Notamacropus eugenii: one gene and its partners. The protein of the gene in region 2 interacts with the protein of the main gene of each other region in a pairwise test. Links are inferred from orthologs where the notes say so. Each region holds a gene or a part of one and is shown on either strand. Other genes may lie near its edges. The genes, in order: AKAP10, PRKAR1A, C5H2orf88 and AKAP1.

Region 1 (7,648 bases), about 290 Mb from region 2:
CTTCCACATCCTTCCAGGGCTTCCTCCTCCTTACAGCCCTGTTTCTCCCAGCCCCAAGGCCTAGTTCCCTCCCCGCTGGCAAGGAGGTCCTGGTCTGCCCTTCCCTAGCCCCGCTGTTTTGGAGAGTGCCTCATTGTCCCTTCCCACCTGACATAGGCTAGGACTTCAGCTCCAAGGGGTATTTAGTGACCCAGAACAGAGAGGGCTTTTCCCTGCCGCACCCCCACTAAGGAAAACTGAAGGATCTCAACTCCCTAACCCCAGCACTCTCCTCTTTGCTGAAATTCTTCCCCCAACCCCTGATGGCAACTCATAGAATGTCAGAACTGGAAGGGGGACCTTATAAACCAGTCCTGACATCCAACCCTTTCATTTTACAGAGAAGGAAACTGAGGGCCAGGGTTTGTGACTTTCTTCAATGCTCCAGAGCCACTAGGGAACCTGAGGCAAGTCTCTTCATGTGAGTCTTGGCAAAGTCCTGTATTGCAGTGCTATGTGCCTGCATGGGATTCAGTGTGTTTACTCTTTCCTCCTTTCTTCTCTCCAACCTTCATAAAGTTGTAAGTGCAAACAAACAAGCTGTGTACACTGACCACAGAATGATCCTATTACCTTGGAAAAGTCAATTAAGCTCCTTGACTCAGTTTTCTTCTCTGTAAAATGGGGGGTGGAGGAGTGGGAGGATGAATTAGGTGACTCCTGAGGTCTCTTCAAGCTCTAGGTCTATGATAGTTGGCACTCAATACAAATCTGAGATACAGAGGAAAAAATTAATTTTAAAAATAAAATAAAAACTCCAAAACAAAAACTTGCCTGATCTTGGGGCTGGAGGATTATTTTACCACATGAAAGATGTTAAGTACCTCGGGAAAATTTGTGACCTCCTTGCCCCCCTCTCCCCCAATGTGGACAAAGAAAGTCTTATTTACTTACTACCTGTGTAATCTTGGGTAAATCACTTAACTTCTCCCACCTTCAGTTTCCTCATCTGTAAAAATGTGATAGATGGTCTCTCAGTTCCCTTCCAACTCAAGATCATTGAGTCTATAGATAAGGCACCATGCTAGGTGTCAGTGGATAGATACCAAGACTAATATGAAACAGTCCTTGCCTTGAAGGAGTTCACTTTCCAGGAAAAAGTAGGCAATAGACATTCCTCTACTTGAATGAATCTGGAGGCTAATCAATGAGCATACCTCTCCCTCAGAGGTGCATGCCCTCTCATCTTGCAATATTCTTCTCTATATCTTCCAATAAATCTCCCAGTTAAGACCTACCCAACATATTGGAGGGTTCCCAGGGATACAGATATGGATGATACGGAGAAGTTTGAGAAAGAAAGGAACTGGATCCCAGATACTCATGTGTGTGCTTCACTTACCCAAGGCAACCCAAATAAGAAAACACAGAGCCAAGATAATAGTGTGGAAGGGTGCCCCTAAGACTGGCCTCCTCTTCTTAAAGGAAATACTGAGAAAGAAGACAATTTCAGTCTAAAGTCCTTTCAGATTCACCTGATTGAAACAGCCTTATCAGTACTTAAATTCCAGAGGGGCAATAAATTGAAATTCTATGGGTTCATCCTTAAGATAGGTCTGACCAGTTTCTAAAGGGAAACCTAATCCAAATTCAGGAAAGAACCAGAACTTTCTGAAAATAAATTCCCCAGTACCTGCATTTCTCTTCCTCATCTCCCCCTCAGGTCTCAACTCAAGTCCCACCTAATGCAGGAAGTCTTTCCTAGTCCTCCTTAATCTGAATGTCTTCCCTTTAATGCCATTCCACACCCCCCCCCCAATTTACTGGGCATATATGTAGCTTTTACAGAGTTGTTCACATGTGGTATCCCCCATTGGTCTGGGAGTTCCATGAGGGCAGGGACTGTCTTTTGCCTCTCTGTGTATCCCTGGTTCTTAGCACAGTACCTGGCACCCAGTTGGTACTTAATAAATAATGCTTGTTGATTGACTGACAAAAATAGGAACATAAATATTTTTTGATTTATCCAGTCAATAAAAGTTCCTCTTTCTCTAATCTTGCATGGTTTAAATGGTTTCAGGAAAATTATTCTCTCATTATTTTATTAGTGATCCATTTAAGCAAATTAAAAAACAACAAATTGAACTTTGTATCTTCATTTTATCTCTGTGGAATTTTGTCTTTTTCACTCTTATTACAAAAATGGAAGTCAAAATGACTTGGAAAGAGAAATTTTAAATAAATGTGAGGTAGGGAAGACAGAATCCTTTTGGATCCTGTGTCCCTCTCCTCCCCTCTTCTCTATCTTTGTCTCTTCTCTCTTTCATACCCCCCAACTCTCCATCCCTCTCTCTCTTTCTCCTCTCTCAGTATCTCTTTCTCTCCCACCTCTCTCCTTCTTTCCCTCACCTCCTCTCTATCTCTCATCTATGTCTCTCTCTATCCCTCTCTCCTTCCTTTCCTCCCTCTCTCTGTCTTTCTCGCCTATCTCTGTCTGTCCTATATCTCTCCCTCTCTTTTTCTTTTCCTCCCTCTGTTTCTCTTCCTCTCCCCCTGACCCACTCCCACACTCCCACCTTTTACAGTGAACTAAATACAACCAGGAAAACAGCAAGACTTTATGCTTCATCTCCACACCCCATCCAGCCATCCAGGCAGGCTACTTCACCTGCTGTCAGAGATGCTGACCTGCATCCTCCACACCAGACCTAATACCTGGATTTATACACCATATGTTCTGGAATCTAGGCCCCAGATCCTGGGGAAGTCAGTCAGTCAGTCAATGATTATGGATACTCATTTTGGGAATTCCCAACCCATTTAGGTGACTGCAAACTTCACCCACTATATCTACTGGCTGACTTGCCACCAGACCATGCTTCAGCCATCCACCCAGGTCATCTTGTAAAATCAGAACCACTAACCTTGGCTCCAAGGAAGAGACAGGAGAAAGCACTTCTTTTTCTTCAAAGAGGAGGGGGAATGGGTTGAGTGTAGAACACTGCTTCTTATGTTAAACCTTTTCTATATGTTGGTTAGTTTTACTGAACTGTTTTTTCTTCTAAAAAAAAACCCTTATAAGGGTTCTAGGAATGTTAGAGGAGAGTCATACATTGGAAAATGTAGGTGACGTAAAAACAGAAGATTTCCATAATAGTCATTTTTTAAATGATGATATAAAGATGGTGCAGTTTCCACACTAAGACTTTTGGGATGCCCTTTAGTTTTGTACAGCAAAGACTTTCCCTATGACTTAGATCTCATTTCTCACCTGACTGAAACAGAACCTCCAGGCTCCTGGAACCTGGGCTCACCTCATCATCCTGTTAGATCCCATTAAGCTTACTTAGCATTTCACCTCATTACTAACTGGAAGGTGGGGTCATAAACTCCAAACATCCTTTCTTTCTTTCATCTTTCTTCTTTCTTCCTTTCTTTCTTTCTTTCTTTCTTTCTTTTTTCTTTCTCCCTCCCTCCTTCCCTCCCTCCCTCCTTCCCTCCCTCCTTCCTTCCTTTCTCCCTCCTTCCCTCCCTCCTTCCCTCCTTCCTTCCCTCCTTCCTTCCTTCCTTCCTTCCTTCCTTCCTTCCTTCCTTCCTTCCTTCCTTCCTTCCTTCCTTCCTTCCTTCCTTCCTTCCTTCCTTCCTTCCTTCCTTCCTTCCTTCCTGGCAATCAGGATTAAATGACTTGCTGAGGATCACACAGCTAGTAAATGTCTGAGGCCAGATTTGAACTTGGGTCCTCCTGACTCCAGGGTGACAGAACATTTCTCACCTGGCAGGACCATTTTGGGACTTCTATGCCTTCTTTACCATCTGGTACATTCTCCTCCTCTTCCCCTTTCTTCCCCTATTAGATGGTAAGTTCCTTGAGGGAAGGGGCTGCTTTTCTTTTTTTGTACTTGTATTCTCAGTGCTTAGCACAGTGCCTGTACATAGCAGGCACTTAATAAATGTTTATTGATTGATTGGGGAATGTCTACCAGTGCTATCACTGGTTCCAAGGGCACCCACAATTCACTGAATTATTTTTAGTATAATTCCAAATTGTTGTAATGTTCCCAGCTCCACCGATAACGGAGTCCTGCCGCGTGCGTGCAAACTGCATCCTTGACCTTCATGCCAGCGCCTGGCACCCAGTAGGTTGCCCACCTTGTTAGCTGGTGCCTTTGGCTTTTCAGGGTTTTATTATTGTAGTGCTAACTATTAATTAATTAGCTATACTGTATCCTCTTTGGAAGTTTTAGGTACAAAGCCCCCAAGGAGTAGGAGCAGCACGTTGTCAGAGGTTCTTGACTTTTTGGGGTGTCCTAGACCCCTTGGGCAATCAGAGGAATCTTTTTAAATGCATTAAATAAGATACAGAGGATTACAAAGGGGACCTATTATCTTCAAATACAGTTGTCAAAATATTTTTTAAAAGCACGGTGAATAATCCCTGACATTAGAGAAAAGCTGCCAAGAAGAGAGCCTCTGGCTGGGAGAACCAGGTCAAAGCAGAAGAGCCCCGCCTATGGGGCGGGGCAGGGAGGGGGAGGAGGAAACGCCCCGCCCCCGACCCGCGGAGCTTGAGGCTCCCCGGCGGATCACGTGTGCTGAGAGGGCTGCGGAGCCGAGGGGGCGGAGCTCTGGCGGGGAGGGGGTGGGGAAGCGTTCGCCTCCCGTGATGCCCCGCGCCGGGAAGGGGCCGGAACTCCGGGGCGGGCGGCTTGTTGACAACATGGCGGCTGCGGTGGCGGCTGTGGCGGCCGCCCGGGCGGCGGGAGGCGCCGGCGGCGCCGGCGGCGCCGGGAGGAAGGAGCCTCTCTCGGGTTAGTTGGGCAGGCCTCTGCGGGAGCCGCCGGCGCTCGCTCCGGCGGGGGGACCGGTCACTGAATGAGGGGAGCCGGGGCTGCCCCGCGCGAGTCCCCCCGCGCCCTCCGCCCCGACCCGGGCCCCGCCATGGCCTTCTTCCGGCGGAAAGGTAGGCGACGGGGCCGGGGCGGGGAGCGGGGCCGGGCTCCGGGCTCCGGGCTCCCGGCTCCGGGAGCGGGGCCGGACTCCCGCGCAGTTCTGCGCCGGGCCGGGCTCGGGAGCGCGCGCGGGCCCCCCGCCGCGCTGACCCCGGCCTTGCACTTGACCCTTGGAGCCGCCTGGGCCCCTAGAACTTGGAGGACTCCCCGAGGGGCGCCCATCCTGCCCTTCCCTGTCCCGGGGAGGAAGCTGAGGGCAGGCCGCCCGCCCAAGGTCGCCCCGGGGTGCCTGGCTCTTGGTCCCGGAGCCCGTGGCGTTGGCCCGTGGGTGCGCTCGGAGACAGACCACGAGTGACCTTCGCGCAGCGCCCGGCACGTAGTAGGCGCCTCCTCGGCGCTTCTTGGCCTCGGCTCCGGCCCCCGAGTGCCCCGGAGGCACCCAGGGAAGCCGAGCTTCGGATACCGAACTTTGTTACAAGTCACTTTAGAGGAGGCTGGACTCGGGGTCTGGGGCCCAGCGAGGTCCGGGATGAACGCTCCCCTGGGGGGAGAAGCCGACCTGCTTGGCCCAGGAGGGCTCCTCCTCCCACGGCCCAGCGAGAGCCCGGCTCCGGTCCCCGCCATCCCCATGAGCGGACCACTAGAATGAACCGCTGGAGACCCACCTCCCCCTTCGGTAGTATTTTTCTATCAAGTCCTTGTTCTTGTTCAGAAATAAAGGATTTCTCCTAATCTCCTAAAGTAAGTTTTTGCTTCAGCGGTTAGCGGATGCAGTGATGGTGTGAGTGACAAAGTTATACTAGCCTAGGAATGCTAAAAATAACGCATCTATGCCCCTCCGCCTTTCGGTCCTGTGAGGTAGGTAGTGTCAGTCTTTTACGAATGAATGAAGAGGTTGGTCACCCTAACAGCGAGCCATTTAAATGTAATAAGGAAGCTGGATAACCCATTAAAAAAATTATTCACCTAACCCAGTTTCTTTGTCCTCTTCCTTATCCAGTCATTTGCACAGTCTTACCAGTTCTGTCACCATAGCTTGTCTCACTTCTGTCCCCTTGTCTCCAGAGCCATCCCCTTGGTTAAGACCCTCTTTATCTCTCACCTGAAACTATTGCAACAGGCTACAGATTGAACCCTTGACTTTTCTTTTCTTTCCTCCAATCCATTCTCTGCACAGCTGCTAAAGTAATCTTCCAGAAAACACAGGTTTGGCCATATAATCCTTCTGTTTGAAAATCTCCAGTGGTTTCCTGTTACCTCAAGGATACAACACAAACTCATTAGCTTGGCATTTACGACCTATCACCATCTGGCCCCAACCTACTTTTCCAGGGTTATTTGACATTATCCCCTTCTCAAGCTGAGTTCCAGCCAATGGCCAACTTACTGTTCCTTGAATTTAGCATTCCCTGTTCTTCCTTCTGCTTTTGCGCTGGTTATTCCCCAAAAGCACAGGGTTGGAAGGCACCGATCACTCACTACCTCTGCTGGGAAGCCATTGGCTATGTCTGTAATTGTTAATTTCTCTCCACATCCTTGGTGAAGTGTAAACTCTGCCTGTGTATAGAGACTGCTTTTTGCTTTGATTCTGTATCCCTAAAACCTAGCATAGTGCTTTATTGGAGACATGAATAAATACACATAGTAGTAGTAAAAATGAGATACAACTTTGGTGAGCTGTGTGCTGGGTACACTTTCTTATTGTGGAAATATCCTTTTCCCCAAAAGTTTGCAATATGTGCAAATTCATTTAGCTGCCTTTATTAGCAACAGTCCCAATGCCTTAATGTTTGTAGAGGGTTTTTTATCCTTTTTCAAAATGCTTGAAGTGTTTCCATTTAACTGAGATGGCAGATCAGAAATTAGAATCCAGATGACTGTTAATTTAGCCATCTTTCTATGTCAGCAGTTATTGTTTAATGCCTTTTTTTAGGCAAAGCCATGTTAAATGTATATTTTGAAAGGAAGTTGTCAGCATCCTTAAATATGGTAATTGTTCATAACTGAAGCAAAGATGACAAAATGTGTTCAAAGAGAAATGTTCTGTGAAGTTGTTTTTTTTCCCTCAAGCCTTGTTTCGTGTCATAGAAAATAGGCAGATCTTGTGCTCACAAGTGAAAAGATGGAAATACTGAGGTTTCTTGTGTGGTGTATTATTGTTGCTTAGAATTAACATGAAGCAGTTAAAATGAGTTTAAAATTTGTTTTATCATTTAAAATTGAATTCATTTCTTTTATTTATTTTTTTACTCTTGATGAAGCCCAGCGTACTCTTTGGACTTAAGGCAGTATTTTTTTTTTCTAACAAAATAGTTTATTTGCGTTGTCTTTCTTTTCATTCTCCATCTGTATACTTATAACTTATTTTTAGAAGGTTTTTTAAAAATGTGTTCTTAGTATGGTATGTGTGTTCTAATTCTGCTGTTATCACTTCACTTGGTTACAAGGCTTTCTACATTTCTTAGTTGTCATTTTTTATTTGTACTAGTACTGAGTTACAGTTATATCCTACTGCAGGTTACTCCGACATTCCCAGATGAGTTAGGTCATTTTTAGTTTTTGCTATTATTAAGCTGCCATGGATATTTTTGTGCAGATAGGTCTTATTTATCTTTTAATAACATCCTAGAACTATATCATTAGTGTTGGGGTCTCTGGATCAAAGGATTGTGAGTCTACAAAGTTTTTATTTGAGGTGCTAGTTGCAGTTAAATGTGGGT
Region 2 (7,500 bases):
TAATCCTTTCACAGTAAAGGTGGTTTTAATTCTATTTTGTGCTCCACAAGGGCTTATTATATTTTAAACCTTGAGCTTCTTTGAGGCATGGTCTACAATAGTGGGAACACTAAACCAGATATACAAAGAAAGAATAATGCTCCCCTTTCTGTCCCCTTTCCCCTGCCCCTTCCCCCAACCCTGAGCCACACTGCTGCGTCATGAAGAGGTCTGACCCGATTCTTTTGCTCTTTTCTGCTGTCATTACGCACAGCTCTGTTGTTTCATTAGAACTGCTCAACCAAAACACCCGCTAGGACATTTGGTACTAGGGGAGTGATATATTTAAAAAAAAAAAAAAAAAAAAGATTGGAAGGGATGGCTTTCTCCTTGCTTTTATCTACTGTCTATAGGCAGCTGCAATGTGAGAAAAAGGCTTAGGGCTTTCGTTAGGGCTTTGTTAGGGCTACTGAAAACCACAGCCCTCTTGTCATATATTTCAGCTTCGCTGCCTCCCTGATCGTGGTAATACCCTCCACTCTTGGTTTCAAAAACTCCATATTCTCTTGGCTCTCTCCCACTTCTTTGTCTGATCAGTGTTTCATTCACTCACTCTTCTTCTTCCTGATAATCTCTTGTGGTGCTTATTAAGTCTTGTATTGACTTTTGCACATATTACTTCCAAAGCTCTATCTCTAGCCTTAACTTCTCTCTAAGGGTCTAGACCTGTATCTTTATTGTTTATACAGTTTCTTTGGCTTTCCCACTGGCATCTTCAACTTCACATGTCCAAAAGCAAGCCTGTCATATTTCTGCAAGAAGCTGATCCCTCATTTTATCTTGTTGTAGTTGTTGTTCATCTTTTGTTTTTGAAGAGGACCAATGACATCACAGGGGATATCTTGACTTTTTATGTGAATCAGATTTAAGTGAGGTAGAGTTGCACAGTCATCAGCCTTAGTCTCTCTTTCTGAGTCACCAGAGTCTAATTCTAAGACAAAAGTCAAGATGACTGGTGATGGCCCAGGTTGCAGTAGATGCCCTTGGTGTCTTTGATGCCTGATCAAGCTTTAAGTGCTTGGCAGTGCCTGCTTCAGCTACCTTCATGGTCCTTGGAACAAAATGTTCTCATCTGCCCATTCTGTCTGGGAAAGTCTTCACATGATAGAGGTAGTATTTCCAACAATAGAATTGCCATTTATTCAATCACTGATTTAAAAGCCTTGGGGTTATCTTTGACTCTTTCATCTCTCTCACACACAAATTCAATCAGTTGCAAAAATCTTATTTTTTTTCCTCCACAGCATCTTTCACATCCTTTCCCTGTTATACACTGATATAGGACATCCTCATTACCTGTATGGATTATTTACTTTTTCGCTTCTCTGATTCATCCTTCCCAGTATTGTCTTGCTCTATAACCATTCTACTATTGAGTGGGATGATTTTCAATATACTTTCTTTATTGGGGGTGTGTGTGTTGTGCAATCAAGGTTAAGTGACTTGCCCAGGGTCACACAGTGAGTGACTCCAGGATCAATACTCTATCCACTACACCACTTAACTTGCCCCTCAATATACTTTCATCTTCATTGGAAATTTATTTGAGATTTGAACCTTGATATCTATTTGCATGAAACTTGATTTATAATTTTTATTAATACTCAAGATAAATCACCCAGCACTTGCTACTTTCAGTTCCTCTCCTCTTTCTCCTTCCTGAAACCTCTGCAGGCTGGCTTCTGGCTTCTCACTTCATCACTCAAGTGAAACTGTTCTCTCCAGTTACCAGTGCTTGCTTAATTGCCAAATCTGATAGCCTTTTCTCAGTCTTCATCCTTCTCAACTTATCTGCTGCTTTTGACACTGTTTACCACCCTCTCCTCATAGATAACTCTCTCCCCTCTGGGTTTTCATCATACTATTATTCTCTCCTGGTTCTTATTCCACCTGCTTGACTAGTCTTTCTCTGTCTCCTTTATAGGCTCATCATCCACATCATATTCTCTAGCTGAGTGGCTTAATAAATGCTTCTTGAGTGATAGAAAACTGTTTCCCATAGGAATCATAAGATCATATAATTCAGGGAATTCTACAAGGGACCCTAAACTTCACCCAGGCCAATCTCTCATTCACATTAGGGAAGAAAAAACTAGGGTCCACAGATATGTAATGGTTTGCTGAAGATCACACAGTGGTGGCAGAGCCATCTTGAACCCACGTCCCCTCATTTCCAAATTTATTCTCTTTCCACTACATGCAAGTCATGGTAACATGTAATTTGAATGTTTCCTAAGGGAAGGCTGTGTTTGAAATCTGCAAAATTGGGGGTAATTTGAATATCTTTGGTTCCACGAGAGGCAAAACATTCAGCATGACTGAATAGTACAAACAGGATAGAATTTGTCTTAATTGCTCTCATTGGAAGTCTATGAGTTTGTCCTTGGTAAAAAACAATCTTAAATACAATGAGACCCAAGATATAGGCTTTTAGGGGCTTTGTTTCCTTTAATTTTATTTCTCAGCTTCACTGAGATTTCACTTACGTTTGCTAGATTTATTCAAGGAAATAGGGAAAGAAGCTTTGGATGAAGAACAGTAGACATTTGGACACTGAGGAATCTTACACTGAAAGCATAATATGGCAAAGATTACATATTGTGATATAAGAACATCCATTGAGAAATGTCATATATAATCCGGTATTCACCTATCTGGAGTTATCAAGGGGGAATTTATATAATTTATAAGCCATCATGACTTAAAAAAAATAAATCACCAGCTGCCTCAGTAAACCCCACCCAAATTCAGCTATATGCAGCTTCTCTTCCTGTTTTTTTTTTTCCCAACTCTCCAGTAAATATGGATTTGGCATTTGGAACAAAGCTAATACTATTGACAGAGAAAACAGTATGGTTCTTGCCCTTGGTTGGAATGGTGCCTATAGTGCAGATGGGTAGGAATAAAAACCTCATTCTTTATTGAGTAAGCAGCTGTCACTCAAATAACAGGAGAAAATGTTTAATATTCCCAATTTACTGTCTTTTCTCTGAGGCTGTCTCATCAAAATATTACATCAAAACCAAACATGGCACAGAGCCCACATGGTCCAAAAAGGGCATAACCTTGTAGCTTGGGTGACCCTTTAGCTTCACAGTATCCTGTTCCCTTCTTTTGCATGACAGCTGAGGGCATATTTATCAGTCCCTTCTTTCTTTGCTCTTAGGTGTGAAATCCTGTGTGAAAGAAGCTGTCTTTATCCTACCATTCCACTACACCAGGCATGCCACAGAGTAAATGTCACCTGTGATGTTCATCACAGAACACCCTTGGGAGAGAGACTTCCAGCTACAACCCTCTATAGCATTTTGCTATCTTTTCATTTGTTCAGTCTGCTTTTTTGCCTTTGACTGTGCTTGTCTTAGCTATCAGATATAAGAGGGACAATCATAAATCAAAAAAAATCCTTTGTTTATTTGTCTCTTTCCTGTTAGAACACTCATGGCTCATTCTTTTGGTTCTGCAGAAACACATGTGAAAAGAGAACAGAAGCATACAGCAAAATCTATGTGCCTACCAGTAAGATTTAATTAAAGTCTTAAAACAATCCTTCTGAAACAACTTCCCCATTTTTTCCCCTTGAAAGGAAGAATCAGATCAGTAAGAAATGATCAGAGGTATCATTTTGTCCTTGAATTTATTCCTGCCTGTCTCCCTCATTATTATAGTTTTGCAACCGAGCTTGGAGAGAAATTTCGACATGAAGTTGTGAGAGATGATTAGATTATGTGTTTTAAAAACAATCCAGTTTCTAGGATTCTGAAATAACGGTGAAGGTAGCTTTTTTGGTAAGATTTCTTTTTCTCCCTTTCTGTCTCCCTTTGTCAAAATTGATGACCTAAAGGGAGACTGACTGGTTTTTCCTTCAGTGCCACAGTCAAATGACATAATATGCTTTAGGGCAACATATAAATATGTGCTGGAAGCTTAGTATGTTTATTCTTTAAAATTTTTACTTAAGACTTATAATTTCCTTCATAATCTTGGCCCATCAGCTTGTGAGCATTCTCATTGAATCACAGATCCCAGGATGATGGACTCTCCTCTACAACAGGAGCAAGGAGTTCTCCTTTGTGTTCAAATCCAAGACTTAAATATGTTTTATTTCAGGACCCTGAGAGGTCTTAAATGCAGTATATGACAACCTGGAGGAAACTGGGCTACGAGAAAAAGGTGAGGCAATAAGGTGTCAGAGGAAAGAGCACCTATACTGGCGTCAAATCACCTACACTTGAAGCCCGACTCCCACGGCTGGAATTATGACCAAGCTATTTCGTCCCTAGGAAAGCAGTTTCAGTCTCCCGTCTTTATTTGAACTCAGTTTCCCCGTCTGAAAACTGATGGGGCTGGGCTAGATGGTGTTCTAATTGAGCCTCCCAGCCCATGCTGCCAAGAGGCTCCTGGGCAGGGAGCGGCCAGGTCGGGACGTGCCACCGCAGCTGCCAGACACTGCAGCATTGCCATGGCAGCAGGGCTTTGCCGCATCCACTGCCGCAGCCTCAGCCGCAGCCGCCCGGGGCCTCAGGAACAGCACGAAACCTTCCCCCCAGCCCCCCTCTCCAGCCCCACCCCGCACAGGGGCTGCAGAGAAAGAGGGCGCAGCTGCAGAGGCGCCTCCCCACCCCCTCCTCTCCGCCCACGTGAGGAGTCTGGGGCTAGGAAAGGGGGAGACAAGACCGACTAGTCAGAAGAGGCGGAGGAAAGGAGAGGAAGAGGACGAGGAAGGGAGTGCAGCAGAGGCGACAGGAGGAGCCCGACGAGAAGAGGTGGAGCTCGGGCAGACCGAGAGACAGGCGGACGGACGGAGAGGAAGAAGGAGACAGGGAGGAAAAGGGAGACCGAGGCAGACAGTCTAGCCTGAGGGACAGTCTGGACGCGTAGCGTCTAGAACGAGACCAAGAGAAAAAGAGAGAGGGAAAGAAAAACATATATATAAAAAGAGAAATAGAGAAAGCAAGAAAGGAGAGCCACAAGAAGAAAGATTGTGGACGAGCAGGTGAGAGGGTCGGGGGTCGGGAAGGACCCGAAAAAGAAGGGGGGAAGAGAGGAGGAACGGGGGAAGGCTGCAGAGTAGGACCAGAGGAGAAAGGGGCCAAGGCTAGAAGGGTCCCTGGGGAAGGGGGTGGGGTTCGACAGAGAGGGACTTTGAAGGGGGGAGGGGCGCTGGTTTCCCCTTTAAGGTTGCCTAGGGCAACCACCTTGACCAGACCGAGGCCCATTGACGTCAGTGATCTTGCTGTGATTGGTCGTGGCTGGTTAGTTTCCGGTGGGAGGGGGGAGCTTTCAGGCTGTCGAGAGCACCTGAGAACCGCCACAGTGGAGGGGGGCGACGCAAAACGTGTTCAAGACGGCTCCCAGCCGCCCACTCCTGGGACCTCTGAGCATGCGGTTGCCAGCACGTCGGTAAGTGGAGCGTGTCCGGGGTCCGGCCTCGGTCGCGCTTCGCTGCCGGGCCGATCCGTTTTGTTGCGGCTGGAGGGATCCAAGATGGCGCCTCGCGGAGCGCTCTGGGGAAGGGCCGCACCCACCCGTTCTTTCCCCTCCCCCTTCCCCGCCAGGCCTCCGGGGCTGCGCCCGCCCCCCGCCCTCGCTGCTGTATTCTGTAGCCCTCCGCCACCAGACGAGAAGCATTCACCTTCGGTTCCCTCCGCCTACAAATCGCACCCCTCCCTTTTCGGCTCGCGCGCGCCCTCCCCTGGCTCCGCCCATCCCCGAGCCCCCTCCTTCCTCGTTCCTGCGGTTCTCTGACCCCCACCTCCCGATGCTGAGAGAGAAGAGCATCCGAATCTGATCCAGTACAATAAAATATGTGAAAGTGGTCTGCGAGCTTTCAAATGCTATACATCTGATACCTTTCAGTGTGGTTGAGAGACTGAGGTGAGATATTGGTTAGGGGGCTTTGCAAACCTTCAAGCGATATATAAATGTTAACTATTATGGCTGTTATTATTGTTACAATCGTATGCTATTATTCTTATTACCCGTTCCTCTAACACAGATCCTAAACAAGTCTTTGTTAATGAAACTCCCCTGACGGCATTTTGTTTTAACTCCACCCCGCTTCTTGTCATCTAATGCACCTTCTTCTCCTTTTTCCCCCCATTGAGCAGTATTTCCCTCCTCTTCCTTTGTTCTTCACCTACCTCTAAACCGGGTTTACACATCTCTCTGCTCCTGCCTTCTCCCTTCCCCCCCCATCTCTCTTTTCCTCTACTGTTGTTGCCTGCCAGCTACTACTGGAATGGTAATTTGGCCTCCCCTTTTCATTCTTTTCCGGAGTCCCTGTGGGCGTAAATGAAATGAAATGCAGTATTCTGCTGTTCCTCAAAACTAAACCAAACCAAAAAACCCAAACTGATGCGTGGTTAAATGGCCCAGGTTACAGTCTTGATTCTCCTGCTACGGGCGTAGTCTTGAACAATTCTCTTGAATGTCTCTATCTCCCCTGCCCCACATGAAAGTAGGAACACATTTTTTCCTTTTGGGAGTAATTTATTCTCATCTGGAGTCGTAACAAAAGCACAGTTCGTTTTATACAGGAAAAATGGTAAGATCCCACAATAGTTACAACGTAGCTTTTGTGTAATGGCTACAAAATCATTAGTTTACTTCCATTGTAACGCTGTGCCCCTTCTCCCTCAGGCTTCTGTTTTTTAGCATCGGCTCAGCCTTTGGTAGGCTGCCTTCTTAATAGGTATTGTTCTGAACCAGAAAGATTTTGTCAAAATAAGATGTTAAATCTCTTATTTGACAGAAAACCATTTAAACTGAAGAGGTATTGCTGCTGAATTTCTGAATAAACGAAGTTTCGGACACAAGTAATACCCATATGAGCATGGCAAGCTGTAAAACAACCACCACCAAAACTTTAATTTTGTGCTATTATGGAAGATTCAAGAAGTTTGTCTTTAACATGAGAACTTCATTTCCAAGCAATATATCTTCAGCTTGGCAAGAACGTTTCTCTGTGTCAAAATGGAGGCTAACCCAAGCAGGAAAGCTGTTAACCCCACTAGGCAGTGCTCTAGACTGAGAATCACAAAGCAGGGATTGCTAACGGCTTGAAATGCAGTATCTAGAATAATTAGCCTTTTGGGGGAGCTTTTGTAGTTCTAGAGTCTTAAAAATAAATCTTTCCAATCAGGTGATGGCACATGTTTGGGTTATTCAGAGATTCAAGTGATTTCAGATTTTTTCTTCTCATTTTCTTGTGGTCTCTTGGTTCATTATTAGAGGCCTCAGTTTCCTTATCAGTAAAACAAAGGTGTTGGCCTTGATTACCTCTGAGTTCCCTTCTAATCCATGATCAGGTGTTTTAAAGCATTGTGCTGCTATTGTGATTTGACTCGGAAGAGTCAGGGTTGATATTTATAATTTAATGTGTTTTTATAGTGATAACTTTTGTCATATATACATGAAATGATTTCAGACTTTGAAAGGTAAAGGATCTAATTTAACTCT
Region 3 (6,742 bases), on a different chromosome or scaffold from region 2:
AAGGAAGACCCTGAGGTTGCCAACCTGGGTGACTAGAAGAATGAGAGTATACCTTTGTAAAGAGGCATGGCCTTTGTGGGGAAAGATCATGCTCACAACCCATCCATGCCTGCTCACTCTGTCCCACCAAAATGGCAGGGATGGAGGGGGCTACTCACTGGCCACTGCTACAGCCACAGGGTGATCTTGGAGGGAGAGGGAAGGGGAAGCAGAGTGAGGGAGTATTGTGGGGTGATGGGTAGAGGCTGTGATACTGAAAATAAGCCCATGGTTGCCTATTGTGGGATGTCACTCATCATCCATTTGGTAGCTTCACAAACCCTTTGGAGTCATGAGGTTGGCCATCTACTTTGGATCACACTGTTCTCTACAGGCTACCCTTTCATAAACATAGCAGATATTTTTTTCTTTTCCAAGCTAAAAATTCCACATGCCTTCGATAGTCCAGGATGACAGCTTTTGATACATTTCTTTTGACAATATTTGAAGATAAGTAACACCTCAAGTTTTAACAGTAACTTCATTTTAAATTTGGAAAAAAATTATCTGTGTTTCTTTCAGAATAACTAGCTAAAAAAAGACTTTTTTCTATAGTAAACATGCCCAAAAGGGAATAATTTACTATAATTGAGTACAGTTAACATGTTTAGAGAAAGGATAAAGAGAATTTAGCAACTCCTGTGGCTCACTTTAAAAATCTGAAGTTAGAGCATTACACAAAGTGTGACCTTGTTAGGGATCAGTCATTACACAGACACACACAAACCTGTGCTTAGCTTATGGCATAGTGTCATAGGTTCTCTGCCAGCTTTTACCTTTGTGGTAAAAGTGAGTGGGAGTGGTAGATGAGAACTGGGAAGCCAACTGAGTTTTTCCCAACATACATTTTTAGAGCTCTCAGATTCTGAGTCATGACTTGGGTTGTAGGCAGTAGATTACCATTAAGTTTCTTTTCCTTGAATCTTTGCCCAAGATTTAGATATTCAGGAGAATATTGGAAAATTGAGAATGTTGTCAAATGAAATTAATTTACCGATCAGAATCTGAGTTGGAAGGGACCTTTGAGGTCTTCCATCCCAAGTGCCCTGAAACACAAATCCCCAGCATAAATCCTGAAGGTCAAGCCAGCCTCTACCTACAGGTCTCTCATGACATGGAACAGAAACTGCAGAACAGGAAATCTGGCCTCTTGGGGTGGCCCAATCCATTTTGTAGCAGTTTGAATTTTTCAGTTTTTCCTCCTCTTAAGCCCCTATCTGATTCTGCAGTGTTCACCCAGAGCTCCTGTTCTGCCCTCTGGTGCCATATAAACAACATAGTAATGATCTAGCGGAAAGTACACTAGATATGAACCTAGAAAATCCGGGTTCAGATTCCAGCTCTTCAGTTTCACCTCAGCCCATCCGCTTCCCCTCGGTTTCCTCATCTGTGAAATTTGAGGGCCAAATGTTGTGACCTCTAAAAAAAGACCTTTCCATATCCAAGTCCCAAGATTCTGATTCTCATCCCCTCCATCCTTGAAGATCCATGTACTGCCCTCCCCACTATCTGTCAGTCCTCTCTCCTGGGGACTGTCACTGAAGTATGAAAGCTCAGGAGAACAAAGGCATTAAATCAACCTCAAATATGAGAGAGGATTTTAGGCTACAGAAAGAGACAAGGATAACTCCGAGGAAGAAGGAGTCGCCAATGGGCTCCTTCCTTGGCCCTAGTCAGACCACACTTACAGTATTGCTCAGTTCTGCACAGCACACTTTTAAAGACGTCACTAAGCTAGAGAATGTCCAGACACATGGTAAAGGGCTTTGAGTTCATGCTGTCACATCCCGCATTATTATTTAGTGCCTCCTCTGGGTCAGGCTCTGGGTATACAAAAACACAAACGAAAGAGTCCATGTCCTCAAGGAGCTTCTAACTTATCCATATGAGGATTCATGAAAGAACAGAGGCCGGAGAAAGAGAAAACTTAAACTGAGGGAGGAGCTGGGGAGAAGGAAGACATGACAACTGTCTTCAAATATCTTCAAATACCTCTTAGAGGAGGGTGTAGACTTTTTTGTTTTTTGGTTTTTTTTGCCTCAGAGGGGAAAACTAGAAGCAAAGGGTAGAAGTGCAAATTTGGGCTTGAAGTAAGGAAAAAACTTCCCAAGACTTAGAGTTCTTCAGGCGTGAAGACCAGATGGCTGCTGAGGCTTTTTTTTTTCAAGTCTGAAATTCTACCTGCTAAACAAACATGAAAGATGGCACAGCTCATGGCAGTGGTTCTCCAACTTTTTGGTCTCAGAATACCTTTACAATCATAAAAACTACTGAGGACCCCAAAGGACCTTTTGTTTGTGTGAATTAAGTATCAATAGGTATCATATTAGAACTTCACTCAATATTTAAAACTAGTTATTAATTTTTAAAAATAATGACAAACCCATTACATTTTGATATAAATAACATTTTCATAGAAAACTATTTTTGTAAAAAAAAAATTAGTAAGAAGAGTACCCTTGTTTTATAATTTTTGCAAATTTCTCTGATATCTGGCTTAGTAGTGTACACATTCTCATATTCGTTAGGGGGGGCCAGATGACAAAGTGGATCGAGTGCTAGGTCTGGAGTCTCTAAGACCCAAGTTCAAATCCAGCCTCACACACTCATTAGATGTGTGACTTTGAGCAAACCATTTAATCTCTGCCTGCTTCAGTTTCCTCAAGTGTCATAGGGGAATAACAGCAGCACTTACTTTGCAAGGTTGTTGTGAGGACCAGATGAGATGGTATTTATAAAGCATTTAGCATGGGACTTGGCACATAGTAGGCATTATGTTAGGTATTATTACTATTTTTACATTCTCTTGCTATGTGTTGAGAAAATCTGACCCAATGCAGATACATAAATGGAAAAGAGAAGAATATTTTAATAAGCAAATGTTTTAGTAATATTATAAAAAATAGTTTTGACCTCAAAGACTCTGAAAAAGGTCTAAGGAACTACACTTTGAAAAGCACTGATTTAGTGAATGGAGAGCTATCTGGGAGTCAGAACCCTGGCTGATATGTGGTAGCTTCATGACTCTGGGCTAGTAAATTTACCTCTCAGTGCTCTAAGTGCTAAGACTATAGACAACTGAGTTGCTGATTTATATCTATTGATTCTGCTAAGCCAGCAGTTCCCTCCTCCAAATAGATCACAGGTCTGCACCTCCCCTCCAAAAATCTAAACTCCAAAACAACTACCAGTTGAACTGAATGCTGGGAAGAGGGGAATCTCTTACGTTTTCTCCACAAAATTATAAAAAAAATCCCCAAATATTATGTCAAAAGTAGCCAATGCTTGTTGTCTTTTAATACCTAGCTTGCATGAATACTGTGCTTTAAGGGTATGATCAGCAAAGAAAAACACCAAACATTTAACAGAAAAAAGCTGCATTTCTGCTAGTTGCAGACAAGGATAAAAGAGTTAATTTGGGGGTCTATAAATCAAGAACCTTCTTCCTTTTTCCCTCAATAGCATCAACAGCTTCCCACCAACTAAAAATCATCTAGTTTTGATTAATGAAAAAAGGAAAAACAAGAATTAACCCATAATTAAAGCTTAATCTTATCTTGACAGGTAACTTTAAAAAATTTTAATCCTAACGCTCAAGTGAATTTTTCTTCTATCTGCAAGATAAGTCATTTCTGTACTTTTTATCAACTCTTCATTGTAAAAGTAATAGGTTTTAGAGAACCAGATCATCCAGTATTCTGTAACCTCAAACTGCGCCCTTGCTCTTTTGACAGATAAACCATAAATGAGAAGAGTGGTGAAAGGAGGTATTGATTCCTGCTCATAGGAAGAAAAACGCTGGTTTATTGAGTATTCCAAAGATGCTGCTAAAGTAGCCTTGGACATCTCCCTCCTCCTCAGCCTGGTTCCTGATTACTATGGGCTGCATAAAGTCAAAGCAAACTTTCCCTTTTCCCAACACAATCTCAACTGAGAGGAGACATGACAGTGAGGAGAGATTTCTAACGGAAAAGCCGTCGATGATTTCTGTCAGAACAGAGGTTGTGAAGGATTCTTCCACCAGGGTGGTGGTGTTGGAGTATGCCCATCGTCTGTCCCAGGAAATCATGGATGAAGCGGTGAAGCAGTGGGCGGCCAACGACATCAGGTATGGGGACATCCCATACATTGAGAGTGAGGCAATGCCCTGAGGCTCCTGGCTCACTCTAGAATGAATGACTCCGTGAAACTATCTATAGGTTTAAACAGTGTACACTGGTGCTAGTTCAAATACAGAAGAAGGCAAAAACTGATGTGATTAAGTACCAAGAACTCCAGCTGTATGTAAAATGTCTTTGGTGTTGGTACCACAGTTGCTTTGATGGGAGAGTAGGTGCTTTAAAAATGAAACGTCTGTTGTGATCAGCACTAGAGGAAGAATGTTTTCTGCTCTGTTTGCCTTGGATCATAGCTTAAATGATGTAGCTTAAATGACCACGTGGGGTCCTGTGGCACCGATAACATTTAACTGGCTACTCTCCTACAGTCATGAGACAAGCCTATCACTCCATGCAGCATTGCCAAAGAATGAAAACTATCACTGTTCATGGCCATTGTTTTTTAACTATATGCTATTAGCTCCACTATCTAATGATACTTGACTGTTGGACAGGCAAAGATCATCAGTATGAAAGGAAAGGTTCCCATACAAACATCACATTTGGGGCTGGTTAGAGCAAAAATGCCCCCTTTCCCATTCATGGACAGCCTTTGTTTGCTCCAGAAATAGACAGCTAAAGAGAACCTATGTGCTTTTTATCATGAGAAAATAGTTTGTTTGCATTTTTGAAGAGGCCCTTAAGGTTTTCCCTTAATAAAACTTATCAAATACATTAAAGAAAAGCACTTATCAATTAACTTTTGAGTAGCAGGGTTAAACTACAATATTCCTTAGGATGCAGCCCTCCCACCCGCAATCATCAAATCACTCGCACTCCCCATGTATAAACCACTTATTTCAAATCCTAAGATGTTGGAAAACACCAAAGCTTAGGGTGATGGTCAATGCTAAAACTGAATGAGCAGGTGGTTATGGTCATACCACCCCCAGCTGGAAGGCACCGGTCTTGATGCTGAATTTGCAGTGAGTTTTCAACGTGGGCTGAGGCAGGCAGATTTTCCTCATCTTCACCCTAGAGTCCTGCCTAATTGCTGTTCTACCAGCTTCTGGTGAGTCTAGAAATCCAGGAAATTCCCAAAAGGATTATGGTTAGCTAGTGTAATGAATGAGATGTTAAGCCTTTAGAGCTTAAATCTTTAAACACAAACCAAAAAAACCCCCAAACCCATTAAGCTCTGTTTCCTCCTCACTGCTTTGCCTACAAAGCTAGCCTGGCTGTGTGCCAAGTGGGTCCAGTAATTTGTTTTAGAGAAGCTATGAATTTACCTTATGGGTTGTGTTTGATCATACCTGTCAGCATTAAATGAACATTGCTGCCCTTAAAAAAGCAGAGTATGGGGGACTTAGAGATGTAAACTGTAGTATCGTTTGCCTACACTGATGTATGTTTGGGTGCCTTGCAACTGTTTCCTTCTGTCACTTTCACAGACCTGGTTCTGAAAACTAAAATGCTGATGAGTGAGCACCTTATGGCAAAACCCTCGAAGACTTTTCCAAGGGAGCAGCTACCAAAAACTTAACAAGAAAACTTCAGAATGAATCATTTATTTGTAAGGTCATACCCATGGAGTCTAAGCTGAACCCAACTTCAGTGTTCACAGTACTAGCTTTTTAGCAAATTATTCCCTGTTCAGTTTCATGGGGATGAGGGAGGGCATGGATGGTCTCTTTAAAGCACACACTTTTCAGGACATTTGTTTAAAGCATTGTAATAAAAACTGGGTATGAATTATAGGACTAACTGTAGCGGAGTAGATAAGGGCCATGCTTTACTGCAACCTAGCACTGATATGAGCTACTGCAGATTTGCTGTTAGTGTTCCCACTGTCTCCATTTCCCTCATCCAAGTCTAAAGAGAAAGAAAGGGAGGATATAGCACGTAAATAAGGATACATGTATCCTGCACAGCAAAGCAGTCAGAAAAAAAAAGATACCTCTACTCACTTATTTCAAATACAAGAGAATCCTACCTAATGTATTTCTTTAAAAATAAGTGCTAAGTCACCTTTATTATTGATGTTATCTTGTGCATTAAGTCCAGTTGCATTTTGGACCCATGATCAATAAAAAGTATGCCACCTAGGCCCTTTTTTAAGGAGTGTATGATTCTTAACATTCCACTTTTCCTACTGTTACAACTACAATCCAGAGAAATGTAGATGATTCCTGTTCATGGAAGGAGCTGAGGTTTGTGGGTCCGATGCTAAATGGAAAGTCCCTCAGTTCAGCTGATAACATTTCCAATGTGGTAAATTCCTGGTGAAAAAGTTTAGAAAGTTTACATGTGCTTAAAGTCGGACCAAAACCTCAGAGTTACCGCTTTTAATTAATGTTATATCTGAAATCTAAAACACATTTAGTTTTTTACATCATCATCTCATTTTCCCACAATGCCCTTGAAGGCTTAAGAATGTCAAGCAATTGATAAAATTTGGTTTCCACTTCTAGTCTAAGGAATGGGTTAAAAAAACATATATATGTATGTGTGTATATGTATGTATGTATATACACACATACCCTATATATGCATACATGTATAGGTATTTATGTATACATAGATATATATGTAGCTTTGAGCATTGT
Region 4 (7,837 bases), about 37 Mb from region 2:
TCTTGTGGGTAGGAGCGTTTGATAAATGGGGGAGAGAGGGGAGAATTAAGTAAGCATTTAACTACTGCCAAACTCACTCAAGTCAATTATCTACAATTTCTGGAGTATCATCTAATGTAAGAATAACCCTTGGAATTCTAGTCCCTTCAACTGATCTCCATATACCTAGCAGGGTGTCAAGGGAGTCTTACAGTTGGCGCTCCTTATTTTATCACCATAATCCAAACAAGTTCTCTTTTCCACTGCAAAGAGCCACGTACATTGGACTGAAAAGTGGCTTCCAATCCAGGCTACGCTACTTAATACTCTGTGCAACTGTGTCCCCTCCCAACTATCTTACATTTATTCTGAACACAGGTACATACATACATTGTCTTCCCCATAGGCAGTAATTTTTGGAAAGCTGGTATCTTTTCCTCCTTTTAATCTCCAATATCTAACATAGTAAGCACTTTAAAAATATTTGTTTTCTTCAGTTCTCTTTGCCCCAGGTTCTTTTCAGTCCTGTATTTTTATGCCCAGCAGTTTACCCAGCAAAGAGCACATAGAATGGGACTTAATAAATGCTTGTTAATTGACCTGGTTAAAAAAAAAAAAAGAAAAGAAAAAAGAGGGAGTTCAACTAAAGAATCTCACCCTAGCACTTACACTTCAGTCACATAACTAGGAAGAGATAAAGCCCTTATAAAAACACAATCTCATTTACTTGCCCTTTAAACACAAATAATTAAAAGCACATGTTATTTTATTTGGAATAAAAATTATTATCCTATTTTGCCTTAGGGATTTAAAAAACTGCAGTGTTAAATGTTAGTTTGGTTCTTTGAGGGATTCTTAAATTCTGATCCTTTTACTGCTACACGTGCTTTGAAAAGAGAAAGGGCTGAGATCTCTTCCGAGGTGAACAGGAAAGAAACTCCACTTTACTGCTAACAGGCAGAGTGAATCCAAATGAAGACAATCAGGTAATACCAAGTGATACTACAGGGTTTTTATTGTTTTTGTTTTTAAAAAAACAGTACAAAGTATCATTTAAGTATTAAGAACAGTTCACTTCTAGCCAGCCAAAGCTTTGTTTTCTACACATAACATGGGCTATAAAACAATGGAAGGGCCAACAAGTTTTGGATTTAGTTCCTATTATAGATTATAGGTACCTCAATTTATGATTCCTACATGATTTATGTTTATTTAAATTGTGTTAACAAAGAACCCTTCCCTCATTGGTGATTAAAACTCGCGCGGGGAGGGGAGGAGAGGAGAGGGAGAAGATTGTGCAGGCTGTACAAAGTCGTTTCAGCTGAGATTGGTTTCACTTCGTAGAAATACTCAAATACCAAGTAGTCTGTGCTTAAGTTAGAGGACAATAGTTAAACTAGCCTCTTTTAAAAAAAAAATTCACACTATACCAACTTAAAAGGTTTCTCTTTAGGTGTTTCTACCTTCACTTAGAGCAAAGACAACTAGTTATCGGTAACAGCAGATGGGGAAAGTGGGAACCTGCTGGAAAGGGCATCTGCTACCAGAACTAGGATCAAAATGTCAGCCTGTTTCTATTTTGACACCTGACCTTGCCCCCAGTTTACACACCTTCTGCTTGTCGTTCACCTCCACTTCCCAATTCTGCCCCCAGGAAAGTGAGGGTGGAATAAGTTTTCCTAAAGAAGGGGAAAGGAAAAAACAACTGGATCTCAGTTACATAACCTTCAGGCACTTCCCGTAGACTCAATGAACAGCACAGGGCCAAAAACACAAAACAAAAACCCGTTAGTCTCATGCACTTTCTGCCAGCTGCCGTCCAATAGCGCTGAGAGCCACTAGAGAGAAAAGAAAGGCTGGCCCAACTCAGCGCCCGCCCCCTCTGTCCTGAGGCTGAGTCGAGTCCTGCCCAAGCACCTTCTCTCTAGCTTTGTTTTAAGCTGTGATTGCAAACAGGTGCGTGCGCCCCCCCAAGAGACCCAGCACCCAGGTCGCTGCCGCAGGTCCTGGGGGAATCCCCTCTGCTCGGTAACATTCGTCCAACAACCACCCCGGGGGCCTCTCCCACGAAGCACGGAACTCCACCAGCTTTTCTCTAGGCGTGACAACTCCTGCTTTGGAGTCTCCATCACGTCCCATTGCTTCCTCTCCCCAAACACTAGCCAAGAAGGGTTTTTCTCCTCGTTCCTCAGCACTCATCCCCGGGCTCACACGGTCGATTTGGCAAAATACTTCTCCGCTAACGTCTACCACGGAGCAAAGCCACATCAGTTAAGCTATCAAGGGGCCTGGCTCTCGGTTACCACCTGCCTCACTCGGACCTGGGACGGGACCGGGAACGGGACCGGGGCCTAAGGGCGGATGACATTTTTCTTCAGTTGCTGTTCAAGGCTAGTATCTCTAGGAGCTGGGTGGGCAAGGAGGGGGGCGGGAGAGCCAGTCCTCGGACCCCACCCCCGGCCCCACCCCACGCCAGGGCTGCGCCCTTGGCATCCGGTTCTATCCCAAGGCCCCCTCTGCCCGCTCGGGCTGGGTACACACGACCTTTGGAAAGTAAACGCACGCGGAGCCGGGCGACCTTGGGTGGGACACGCTCAGCTCGGCGGCTTTCTCGAAGCGGAGCGCGCGGCGCGGGCAGCCGGGCAGGGAGGGAGGAGCGGCCAGAAGGAGAAGTTAGAGGGAAGCACCAGCCCAGGACCGGCCGAGGACGGCGGCGCTGGGGAAGGTGCGGACACACATGGCTGGGAGAACGAGGGCAAGGAGGGGTCGCTGCTCCGCCCCGGGCTTCCCCCGCACCTCTCAGCTGTCCCCACGAGCCGGGAAGACAGGACAGGCGTGGAAGTGAAGAGGAGAGCCCGGGGCCAAACGCCCGCCGACCGCTGCCTCCCAACCCAGCCGGGGCAGAGGCGGGGAGATCTCCCCCCCCCACCCCGATCACCCACACTTACGAGCTCTTAGGCGATCGCCCCCCCAGGAGCAGTCAGTTCACGTGCAGCTACCGCTGCCCCCGCCCACCCCCGACCCCGCCGCCGCCCCCTTCTCCGCCTCGGCCCAGCGACTCGGTTCGGCTCGGGCCGCTCCCCCACGTGCTCAGCCTGGCTAGGGGAACTCTGAGACTTTAAATAGTGAAGGCGCGCGCCGACAACGTGCACGCGCTGAGAAACCCCGCCCCCCTCCTCCGCTCCGCCTCCCAGCTCCTCGCGGTTTACCCTCGGCTCCGCCTCTAAGACACTACGCACGCGCACTGCTCCACCTTCTCCGCCCCGCCCACACCCAACTCCTTGCTGCCTCTCCTTCACGCACGCGCAATTCCATGCTTCCCTGCCCTCCACCTACCGCCCTGCCTTCATTCACTTACGCACGCACGGGTTCCACGCTCCCGTCCTCCCTCCCTCCTTTCTCCCCCGCCCCCACCCAACTCCTTACAACCCCGCCTTCTCCTCCTGCGCACGCGTGGCCCAATGATCCATCTTTCCCGTCCTTTGGCTCCTCTGCTCCCCCAACAGTGCCTTTCCCCGCTGCGCACGCGCACTCAGCATCCCTCGCTCCTTAATTTGCTTGTCCCTCTCCTCTGCGGAGAGTTGACCGTGTGTTCCATCTTCTCTGGCTCAGACCTGGGAGCCCAAACTCTGTACGAGTCTGGACCTAAGTGTTAGGGAGGCGGTGTAGGGGGTGACCCCGGCGTGAGCCTTCCCTTCCTCCTTCTGTGACCTTGGACAGTAGTCTCAGCTCAGCCACCACCTTGCAGAGTGACCTTAGACAAGTCGCCTTCCCTTTCTGGACCTCACTCGTCTCCTCTGAAAGGTCCCCTCCAACTCTAACAAAGCTTTTCTGCCGTAGGGAGGACTCAAGCACTGAGTGCCCACTTCGTGCCAAACACAGTGCAATGTGCTAGGGATACAAAGAAAGGCAGAAAACCCCAGTCCTTGCTGTCAGGGCGCTGGCGTTGTAACGGGAGAGATGATGGCCAAACCACCATAGCACAGTAGCTAGGTACAGGACCAGCTGGAGACATTAGCATTAGCACTCAGGCTATTAAAAAAATAAAAGTTCCTGGGGAGCGCCCCCCAGCCCACATGTGCCTCCGATGGGACGGCGAAAGGCTGTGTCCCTGCGGATCGCTGGTACCTAAAACCCAAGATAAAGGGTTCCTTGCCATTTGAACAAAGCCATCAAGGTGAAGATGAAACGTGCTCCACCAGTTGTCCTAATTGTGGGATTATGATTCATGAGCAAAGAGGCTCACCAGAGGGGAGGTAGGCACTGCTGGCTCCTTGGCTGCCTAGGAAACAGGCTCCGCGACTGTCCCAGGAGGGCCTGGAGGGAGGGATTGGACCTGGAGACACCTTCTCACTCTGAAGGCTGACTTCCCCCGTGGAAGAGTCTCTGATCCAAGGGTGGGGAACCTGGGGCCTCGAGGCCACATATGGCCTCCTAGATCCTTGGGTGCAGCCTCTTGACTGAGTCCAAGTTTTACAGAACAAATCCTTGTGGGGATTTATTCTGTGAAGTTTGGATTAAGTCAAAGGGCTGCGCTTGATCACCTAGAGGCTGAAGGTTCCCCAGCCCTTGTCTGGTCTGTTCCACACTGAGACCAACTAGCTTGTCTCACAGAGAGTTCTGTGAGAAGTCACTAGAGAAGAATTATTTTTAAAACACATCATTAAAATTGACATTTTAAATAATTCTTTCAAACCAGGCTTTTATTAAATGCAAATGTGTATTAGGCTTGGTTAAAATTCATCAAAGGATTTTTGGGGTTTAATTGCATCCTCCCCTGTCCACTCCTACATGTGTGTTAGACTTCTTAACACTTCTATAACTTTTTGATACAAAAAGACGCCTGTCTCCAGGATTTTTAATGACAGTAGGTCTGTAGAGTTGGTAAATTTCTGCTGTGTACCATACAATGGATTATATTCTGCTACCAGATTCTCATCAGTGATGGGCCTTTGTCCCCACAAATTATGTGGATCATAATAATAAAAACCTCCATTAGGAGGAAGAATTGATGTTTAATTAGTGTTTGTAAAGTTGGGGGTATTCTGTAGGTCAGGGACAAATGTCTGTTAAATTGTAAATGTAGTTTTTTTAATGTAGAAGAGATCTAGAAGGCTTGCTTTTTAAAAGCATATATATATACTATGTATAAATATTTATGTTTATTATGTATTATATTTATATGTCATAGATGAAATATTATATACACATACTAAAGCTATAAATAAAATACTGGAAAATGACCACATAGGGTAGAGATAATACAAATGGGTTGGACAAAAGGGTGAACTAAACCCAAGGAGTGGAATGGTGAAATACTTATATATCAGGGGTTAGATTGGAGTACTCATCATGAGGCATAATGCTGAGTTCTCCTGGCAACTTGTAGGGACACCATGTAGGTAAGTATGAAGGACTTGCTGCTTTCTGATGACATAGAAAAACCCTCAGTGGTCTCTTCGTTGGAAACCTTGTTTTCTCACTCCCCATCTAGGGTGAGGGTTGTGAATTGGAGAGAATGCGTTAGAGGATTGGCTATTGAGATAAGAAGAGCCATTCATAAAGAAGGCTTTAAAAGGAGTAACTCAGATTTCTGGTGAGAGGTAGAAGAGACGCCCATCCACCCCCACCTGGGGCCTGGCAGCATGGCAGCTTCTAGAGCAGAGCACAGAATATGTGTCCCGTCTAGGGGAGCCTGAGCCTAAGACTGGGCCTTGTGCCCCTGGCTGCCTCATCTGTTCTATGTTCTGCCTCTAAGCATCAATGACTGAATATTGATCCTGCAATAGCTCTGACTAATCTTAAAGGCAGCCTCATGGGTTTAAGAAGTCAGGATCTCCTGGGGCCCCTAGTTGAAGCTGATTCAAAACAGAAGGATGGCCAACAGAAAAAGGAATTTGACTTCTGATCTAGCTTGCCAGAAGATGTTGACCTGGAGGAAGACAGTGCAGAACTGAGCCAAAGGTGGAATACACATCCATCAGACCCATAAAATGGTCCCTCATTGCTTTAGGTATCAACCTCACAGGAGAACATGATATTAGTTATCAATTATTTCTACTTGCTTAAGTCTTTGTCATCTTTACCCTTGACATTTTTCACTCTCCAAACAGGACCACCAGAAGCCATACTAGGGAGGAGCTAAACCACTTGACTCTCCACTCTGTCTTTGGGCAGCAGATGGGTTAGACTAGAGACAGACTGGTGATGGTTGATTGCTTTGGGTCATGTGATAAGCAGCAGAGAAGGTGTAGTGGTAACCGTATATTTTTCACTGGCCCCCCAAAATCCTACATGCTCTACAAGCCTGCTCTAGGACCCACTGTCCTCATTTTCAAGGAAGCTATTTCCACTCTGCCTCAGCTCAAGTGGCCTGGAAGGGACTCTTGGACCTACAACTATTGCCCAGGTCAACAATTAAGTGTAAGAGTGGAGATCAATTGACTCAATTCAATCCAATCATGCCACCCCACTCAAATAAGTTACAAGGTGCTACACCCAGAGTGTTCTCAACTCTGTCAGGAAAGGACAATTAGTGAATTCAAGGGGTAAAATTAGGCATGACCTAGGTCTAGACTTTAACCAATCGATCATAGGCTTTAGGTGAAGTATGAAAAAATCTTTGATCATTGTAGAAGTTCTTGAAAATCATTGAATGAACTGGAATAATTGTGCATAGCAAGTCTTTTTACAATTGGTTAAGATAACTTATTTGTATCATGAGGGTCATTTAAAAAACATCCAGCCAGCTTGGATTCAACTCCTGGTAACTTAGGGTGAAATAGATGATAGATAGATAGATAGATAGATAGATAGATAGATAGATAGATAGATAGATAGATAGCCCTTCAGAAAGAATTGCCTGGCATGGTGGGGAGAAGAAGAGAAAAATAAGGCTTACTTGGTCCTTGGTCTCATACTCCTTCCCCTCCCATCTTTGCAAAGAGGAAGACCATGTCAACTTTGAAGGGTCTGGAGGATCTGGGATTTCCTAGACCTCTTATCAGCATCACTGGACCAGGCTGAGGAAAGGCAGATTCAGAGGTCTACAAGGAATTCAGCAGAAGGACTGCACCATACCTAATGGAGACATCTTGAGGATTACTATAAAAAAAACAAATTTCAGGAGCGGTGAGTTACCCCATCACCATACATTCTCAATAACGTGAGCCCACTTGCAGCTAGGGCCCTCTTGCTATGTACTTGTGGGAGAATGTGGTACAGATTTTTAGGGGAGTATTTTGTACCAACAATATCACTATGGTAAAATGCCCCTTTCTAAAAGCTAATTAAAACCAGGAGAACTTTGTACACAGCAACAATCACAGTGTTCGAGGAATTTTTCTGGTAGACTTAGTACTTCATAGCAATTGAAGGACTTAAAAAATTCCCAATGGACTCTTGAGGCAAAATGCCTTCCACATTCAGAGAAAGAATTATGAAATTCGATCGCAGAATGAAGCAGATCATTTTCTTTTGTATTATGTTTTGTTTTATGGTTTCTCCAATTCATTTTAATTCTTCTATGCAACATGACTAAGGTGAAAATGTATTTAATAGGAATGTATGTGTAGAACCTATATAAAATTGTATGCTGTCTCAGGGAGAGAGTGGGAAAGGAGGGGGAAAGGTGGGGGAGGGGGAAAAAAATCTAAGATATATGGAAGTGATTGTAGAACACTGAAAACAAATAAAATAATTTAATTTAAAAAAACAAAGATGTATGTTCATAAGTTTAAATTTAAATTAAATTGAAAAATAAAAAAATAAAAGCTAAGTCTAGTTGGCTAGTTGATATCAACTGATAATCATGAAATGAAACATATTAGTTGTGAGCAGCTGGGGGTGGGCTCATGGG

Evidence for each region.
Region 1: the proteins of PRKAR1A (region 2) and AKAP10 interact in a two-hybrid assay, tested with the Homo sapiens proteins (3 studies listed by BioGRID and IntAct). The link is inferred for Notamacropus eugenii from reciprocal best matches to the Homo sapiens genes PRKAR1A and AKAP10.
Region 3: the proteins of PRKAR1A (region 2) and C5H2orf88 interact in binary tests that used the Homo sapiens proteins (3 or more experiments, as listed by UniProt). The two-hybrid records come from large-scale screens. The link is inferred for Notamacropus eugenii from reciprocal best matches to the Homo sapiens genes PRKAR1A and AKAP19.
Region 4: the proteins of PRKAR1A (region 2) and AKAP1 interact in a two-hybrid assay, tested with the Homo sapiens proteins (2 studies listed by BioGRID and IntAct). The link is inferred for Notamacropus eugenii from reciprocal best matches to the Homo sapiens genes PRKAR1A and AKAP1.

What each region holds. Positions count from the first base shown.
Region 1 is NC_092873.1:41,114,896-41,122,543, forward strand, and holds the start of AKAP10 (A-kinase anchor protein 10, mitochondrial), read left to right. Parts: upstream 1-4,634; 5' UTR 4,635-4,642; coding exon 4,643-4,787; exon of another isoform or gene 4,788-4,939; intron 4,940-7,648. UniProt on the Homo sapiens protein: Differentially targeted protein that binds to type I and II regulatory subunits of protein kinase A and anchors them to the mitochondria or the plasma membrane.
Region 2 is NC_092873.1:331,704,184-331,711,683, forward strand, and holds the start of PRKAR1A (cAMP-dependent protein kinase type I-alpha regulatory subunit), read left to right. Parts: upstream 1-4,483; 5' UTR 4,484-5,035; exon of another isoform or gene 5,036-5,442; intron 5,443-5,536; exon of another isoform or gene 5,537-5,916; intron 5,917-7,500. UniProt on the Homo sapiens protein: Regulatory subunit of the cAMP-dependent protein kinases involved in cAMP signaling in cells.
Region 3 is NC_092876.1:257,520,210-257,526,951, forward strand, and holds C5H2orf88 (small membrane A-kinase anchor protein), read left to right. Parts: upstream 1-3,917; coding exon 3,918-4,190; 3' UTR 4,191-6,242; downstream 6,243-6,742.
Region 4 is NC_092873.1:369,175,799-369,183,635, reverse strand, and holds the start of AKAP1 (A-kinase anchor protein 1, mitochondrial), read right to left. Parts: upstream 3,012-7,837; 5' UTR 2,928-3,011; intron 1,659-2,927; exon of another isoform or gene 1,591-1,658; intron 1-1,590.